2 linked regions of the Saccharomyces cerevisiae S288C genome follow. The protein of the gene in region 1 purifies or fractionates together with the protein of each later gene. This does not show direct contact. Each region holds a gene or a part of one and is shown in the gene's direction. Other genes may lie near its edges.

Region 1 (4,204 bases):
TCACCGATAACGTTGATGATTCTCCCTAAAGTTTCTCTCCCAACTGGGACGGAGATAGGGCCACCAGTGTCAAGAACCTTTTCACCACGGACCAAACCTTCGGTACCATCCATAGCAATGGTTCTGACAGTGTTTTCACCCAAATGTTGAGCAACTTCCAAAACCAACTTACCTTGAGGTGTTTTAATTTCTAAAGCGTTCAAAATAGCGGGCAACTCTGATTGTTCAAAATGAACGTCAACAATGGCACCAATGACAGCGGTAACTTTACCGGTGATTGGAGTAGATTGAGCAGCTGAGGCCATACATCTTTTCCACGAAGTGGATAGAAGCGGAGCGGATTGTTTGGCTGCTTTAAAAGCAGCACGGGATGTAGCAGTATATAGTCTTGGCAAAACCATTCTTTTTTTTATTTTTGTTTTCTCTCAAAGATTCAGTATAAATTGGATAACAACAGACTAAAAAATGAAAGAAAAGAAAGACAAATTTGACTTGAGGAGGAGCACTTTTGTCTTCGTTTATGAGGGGGGTTTAGGTTGCTAAAATTTGTGTTACTGTTTGATCTTTGCAAAATTTATCCAATTGGCCTGTCCTGGAGAGATAAAGAAAGTTTAAAAAAGGGCAAGTTAAAATGTTTGTTCTGTAATACAAAAAAGAGGTTAATGCAAAAAGTGCGTTCTTTATAAGCGTTGTATCTAAGAGCTCGAAGATGGGAATATCCTTGCGCTGCTTGGCCGGCGAGGGGCCCACCCGGCACGCGCTTGGAGGTCGCCGTTGATTGGCCGCTATATATCGCGAATCACGGGGGTGTGTGTGCGACCCGGTGCGCCGGGTGGCATATGGGCGGCTAATTGCGTATAAGATGATAACATCCCAGCGCATCACGTGAAAGGAAATACATATATATGTGGCTTTATTACTGGTTTAGAGTATTTTTGTACTGTGACTACTACTGTATTTCATGTAGCAGAATACACAGCCTTTTACTTCTGTTCTTTCTCAAAGGTTCAAGAAATAGAATAGCCAAGTGCCATCAAGAACTCGAACTAACTTTCGTAGAAGGAGTAGTATACAGTCTTGCTTGTCACAACTCTTTCAGGAGCTTTCTTTTTAGTATTATACACGATCCGTATGCTCATCTCGTGATATAGAAGTAACGCATTGAATGCAAAGAAAGGCAGATATTTTACCCTAGGTGTAACCAGAAGAGATTAGGAGGGCTTAGGGCCAGTATTTTATCTGATGTAGGGCAAACGAGTAAAATGTGTAGGGTATGGGCTAATATCAAGGGCTTCGGACTTACTGCCCCGCTCACAGAAACAGCCGCACTAATTAATTTCTTTTGTGTAACGTTAAAGTAACCCTGGAATCATCATTGAAAAATTATCATCCCAAGAGACAGAGATGTGCATGTTGACAACGCAGGCTCAATGTAGAATAAGATCTGACTACTTAGTCAATTTTACCTCTAGATCATATTAACTAATCTCATCTTGCACAAAAAACGTATCACTATCATGGAGGAAATTCCTGCCCTGTATCCAACGGAACAAGAATTCAAAAATCCGATCGATTATCTCTCTAACCCCCACATTAAAAGGCTTGGTGTACGATATGGTATGGTCAAGGTCGTACCACCAAACGGGTTCTGCCCGCCACTTTCTATTGATATGGAAAATTTTACTTTTCAACCAAGAATTCAAAATCTGGAGAACCTAGACCTGAAAAATAGGTGTAGGCTATTTTTTATGAAACAGTTAAATAATTTTAAAAGATCCGTTAAGGATCCATCGAAACTTATACTTAGGGAACCTTATACGATTGTAGAATATTCAGATTCTACTCATGCATCGGAAATACTAAAAAAAAAAGTGTACTTTTATGACGTTTTCTCTGAACTAATAAAAGACAATCGGACACTTACTGACACTACACAGTCATTCAGGCGAAAATTGAAATTTAGAGATATTTCCCAATTAAGAGGCGACATCAGTCTATGGAGGACCATTTCTAAAAAATTCAACGTACCAATCGGCTTGTTAAAGGAAATTTTTGAGAAATATATTGCCTCATACTACATATTTCTTCATTCACTGAACGAGAACGTGCACACGGCGCTGCATGCTGACCAGTATCCAAAATCCTTATTAAGTGATGACGAGGACGATTTCGATCTTGGGCCAGATTCGAATTCTGGGTCGGATTTTGAGGAGGACGATGATGATGCTTGTATTGTTTGTCGCAAGACAAATGATCCAAAAAGAACAATTTTATGTGATTCATGTGACAAACCATTCCATATATATTGTTTATCACCACCTTTGGAACGTGTTCCCTCTGGCGATTGGATTTGTAACACTTGTATCGTCGGAAACGGATATTACGGATTCACTCAGGACACGCATGACTATTCTCTACCAGAGTTTCAAGAATATTGTAAACGTCAAAATTCAAGGTTATTACCAGCACGAAAACTGTCTATAGATGAGTTGGAAGAGATGTTTTGGAGCTTAGTGACCAAGAATCGTCGCAGTTCATTAACGACAGTTAAATACGGTGCTGACATACATAACGAATTGCCAGGTCAAATTACCGGCTTTCCGACGAGAGAATTTATACCCAAAAATATAAATGGGGACGAATTGATAGACTACCTCAAATATTGCGATCATCCTATGAATTTAACTAACTTGCCTATGGCTCATAATTCGCTATTACCGTTATTTAAAAGAAATATTTCTGGCATGACTATTCCTTGGATTTACATAGGCTCCTTATTTTCCACATTTTGTTGGCATATGGAAGATCAGTATACCCTAAGTGCTAACTATCAACATGAAGGTGACCCTAAGGTCTGGTACAGCATTCCCGAATCGGGATGTACGAAATTCAACGATCTATTAAATGATATGTCACCAGACTTATTTATCAAACAACCAGACCTACTGCATCAGCTAGTGACTTTAATATCTCCGTACGATCCAAATTTCAAGAAATCAGGTATTCCTGTGTACAAAGCTGTGCAAAAGCCCAACGAATATATTATCACGTTTCCTAAATGTTACCATGCTGGTTTTAATACAGGTTATAATTTTAATGAAGCTGTCAATTTTACTATAGATTTCTGGCTACCATATGGATTTGGTGCGATTACGGATTATAAATTAACTCAGAAAGCATGTGTTTTTGATATGTTTGATTTAATGATCAATGTTTTGGACAAGTACAATAAAGATACTCTATTGTTCAATGATGCTTTTGTTAGGCAATGTTACTCTTCATTGATCGTCTTTTATAATACTGAATTAAAACGCATACGGAAAATTCAGGCCATTGTACCACGGACAACTCTTTTGGAGGTGCATACTGATCCAAACGATGAAGATGAGGAATACGATATATTTTGTTCCCAATGTAAGACTATATGTTCAATAGCCTTTGTATTGCGAAAGAATAACTATGATTCAATTAGAACGTATAAAAGACACAAGAAAAACCATTTAAGTATTAGGCAGTGGAATGAACTATCCACGACGGACAGTAAAGTGAGTATCCTGTGTACGCAGGATTACTTAAAATCAATACAAAACTTGAACAATAGCGACGGTGAAGAACCTTATATTGACGATGAATTGTATTTCACTAAGTCTTTGAAGGATATTGACTCTTTAATAAAGCAAGTTGGTGTTAAGTTAGATAGATAGTCTTCAATATTTGTGTATGGCGTAATGATTTTTTAGAATAATACTTGGCATTTAGCACGCCACTTTTAGCGCGAAAACACCAAAAAAGTAAAGAAAATAATGTCGATCAATCTTTAAAGAGAGACAATTGAATGGTAGTGTAACAATTTACAACATAATAGAGTATCGCATTCAGCAAAAGTAAAGAATAAATTCTAAGAAAATGGCTCAAGCCTTGAACTCCACCAATATTGCTTTTTTCAGAGTAGCATTTTTATTCACGATCGCCTTCTTTTGTTTAAAGAACGTTAATTCTATTTTGCAAAATACATATTTCATAGTCTTAACGCAAGCGATGAATTTACCGCAGTTAACACTGTCACGTTATAGTGGTCAATTGGGTCTTTTCGCTCTTCTGTTTACTCTTAACGGTGTTCATGATCTAATTCCCCTGTTAGAAAACAATGTTAAATACTTCCAATCTGTTGTGCCAGTTAGATTACTAATTTTTTTTATTTTGA
Region 2 (3,013 bases), on another chromosome or scaffold:
TCCCTTGATTTGAAAGAAATTAAAAAGCGTCAGAAAATTGTAGCATTTTTCAAAGACAACCGTGATATCACTGAAACACTACGGACTATGTTGAAAAAAGTAAATGATCTATCCCGTATACTTCAAAAGTTTAGTTTCGGAAGGGGCGAGGCATTAGAACTTATTCAAATGGCACGTTCACTAGAGGTTTCAAGAGAAATAAGAAAATATTTACTAAATAACACGTCGTTGATGAAAGCTACATTAAAGAGTCAAATCACACAGCTGACTGAGTCTTTAAATTTTGAAAAAAATTTGATTGATGATATTTTGAAGTTTTTAAATGAGGAAGAGCTAGCAAAGTCACAAGATGCTAAACAGAATGCAGATGTAACTAGAATGCTTGACATAGATGTAAAAGACAAGAAAGAAAGTAACAAAGATGAGATTTTTGAATTAAGAGATTTTATCGTAAACCCTTCGTTCAATACCAAACTTAGGAAATTGCATGACACTTATCAGGGCGTTTGGCAAAAAAAAACTGAGTACAATGCTTTATTAAAAGGTTTTTTTGTTGGCGACCTAGGTGCTAAGACTTTCACCTTGAAGGAAAGGCAAAACGGTGAGTATGCCCTCCATGTGACAGGAACAGCCTCTAGTTTAAAGAAAATTGATGAGTTAATTAGTAAATCGACGGAGTACCACGGAAGTTGCTTCCATATTTTGCAAAAATCAAGCCAAACACGATGGTTGAGTCACAAAATTTGGACAGACTTGGGGCACGAGTTGGAATTATTAAATTTAAAGATTAGGAATGAAGAGGCTAATATTATTGATCTTTTTAAAAGGAAATTTATTGATAGAAGTAACGAGGTCAGACAAGTTGCAACTACACTGGGCTATCTTGATACCTTATCGTCCTTTGCTGTGTTAGCTAACGAGAGAAATTTAGTCTGCCCAAAAGTGGATGAGAGCAATAAACTAGAAGTAGTGAATGGGAGACATCTAATGGTTGAAGAGGGTCTTTCCGCGCGCTCTTTGGAGACATTCACGGCCAATAACTGCGAATTGGCGAAGGACAATTTATGGGTAATTACCGGACCGAATATGGGTGGTAAATCTACATTCTTAAGACAGAATGCAATTATAGTCATTCTGGCGCAAATTGGATGTTTTGTTCCATGCAGTAAGGCGCGTGTGGGTATTGTAGATAAGCTTTTTAGCCGAGTTGGTTCAGCAGATGATCTGTACAATGAGATGAGTACGTTCATGGTTGAGATGATAGAAACATCGTTCATCTTGCAAGGAGCTACGGAACGGTCTTTAGCTATTCTAGATGAGATTGGCCGTGGGACTAGTGGTAAAGAAGGCATTAGCATCGCTTATGCAACTTTAAAGTATTTGTTAGAGAACAATCAATGCAGAACGCTTTTTGCTACACATTTTGGTCAAGAACTGAAGCAAATCATTGATAACAAATGTTCGAAAGGAATGAGCGAAAAGGTCAAGTTTTACCAAAGCGGAATCACTGATTTAGGTGGAAACAATTTTTGTTACAACCATAAGTTGAAGCCGGGCATCTGCACGAAATCAGATGCCATTAGAGTTGCGGAATTGGCCGGATTTCCAATGGAAGCGTTAAAAGAAGCCCGCGAAATATTGGGATAACTTTTGAATACAACTATTAATTGTATATAATTTGACATGTAATATAATAAGATGTGGAATCAATTTCCCTGTCTTTTTTTTCAAAAGCGACTGTGAAGATACTTAGAAAATGGCAAAAACGGTAGTTTGCAAATTTCCGTAGTTTGTCGCGCGAATGATATTAGCGGAAACAAAACGATCAAACCTTATACCATGAATATAATGGTGGATATTTATTACGGTAAGGAAACACTCTGAGCCAGGCTTGTAAATAGCGGTTATCTAAGCTTGTAACTAAAGAAATCAATTTGCATCTTTCGTCCATGAGTGTCAGCCTTGAGCAAACGCTCGGATTCAGAATAAAAGTTACGAACGTGTTGGATGTAGTTACTGAAGGAAGATTGTATTCGTTCAATTCATCCAACAACACTCTTACTATCCAAACAACAAAGAAGAATCAATCTCCACAAAACTTCAAGGTGATAAAATGTACATTCATCAAGCATTTGGAAGTCATTGGTGATAAGCCCTCGTTTAACTCATTCAAAAAGCAACAAATCAAACCCTCATATGTCAACGTGGAAAGAGTTGAGAAGCTTTTGAAAGAAAGTGTAATAGCATCTAAAAAGAAAGAACTCTTAAGGGGCAAGGGTGTGAGTGCAGAGGGTCAGTTCATTTTCGATCAAATCTTCAAGACCATAGGAGATACTAAGTGGGTGGCTAAAGACATCATTATTCTTGATGACGTTAAGGTGCAACCTCCATACAAGGTCGAAGATATCAAAGTGCTACATGAGGGAAGTAACCAATCCATTACATTAATTCAAAGAATAGTGGAAAGAAGCTGGGAGCAGCTAGAACAAGACGATGGTAGGAAAGGTGGATAGATTAATTAATGACGGAAACGATAATATACGTTATATATTTTATCCGTACTTCTATAATGTCAACTATTGTTTATAAAGAGATCCATTTGAGTCTACAGATTTTTCTATTTATCAAACTATAATATTCCACCACTCTCTTCTCAGTCGCAATGCTTGGGTGTACGGTGTTTGAATAATTGAATTAGATTTAAATGCGAATAAGTGATGACTAACAAGCAAAAAAATCGAGTATTTCAAGATCCAGTCGAATATAAAATCTTGCTACTGCATTATTCTACGATTTCCTGTTATCACTTATAGTACACATGTCTGAGTTTTTGAATGAAAATCCCGACATTTTAGAGGAGAACCAACTTCCCACTAGAAAAGAAGATAGTACCAAGGACCTTTTGTTAGGCGGGTTCAGCAACGAAGCTACGCTGGAAAGGAGAAGCCTTTTGCTGAAAATAGACCATTCTTTAAAGTCTCAGGTATTGCAAGATATAGAGGTCTTAGACAAG

The links.
Region 2: the proteins of JHD2 (region 1) and LSM12 purify together in Saccharomyces cerevisiae (affinity purification with western blotting; 2 studies listed by BioGRID, with this or other methods). This does not show direct contact.

Annotation. Positions count from the first base shown.
Region 1 is NC_001142.9:643,804-648,007, reverse strand, and holds JHD2 (histone demethylase), read left to right. Parts: upstream 1-1,517; coding exon 1,518-3,704; downstream 3,705-4,204. Other genes in the region: ATP2 (F1F0 ATP synthase subunit beta), read right to left, coding at 1-401; DMO1 (Dmo1p), read right to left, coding at 532-882; ILM1 (Ilm1p), read left to right, coding at 3,907-4,204. UniProt on the Saccharomyces cerevisiae protein: Histone demethylase that demethylates 'Lys-4' of histone H3, thereby playing a central role in histone code. Demethylates trimethylated H3 'Lys-4'.
Region 2 is NC_001140.6:350,807-353,819, forward strand, and holds LSM12 (Lsm12p), read left to right. Parts: upstream 1-1,949; coding exon 1,950-2,513; downstream 2,514-3,013. Other genes in the region: mismatch repair ATPase MSH1, read left to right, coding at 1-1,647; iron-sulfur cluster assembly protein CIA2, read left to right, coding at 2,819-3,013.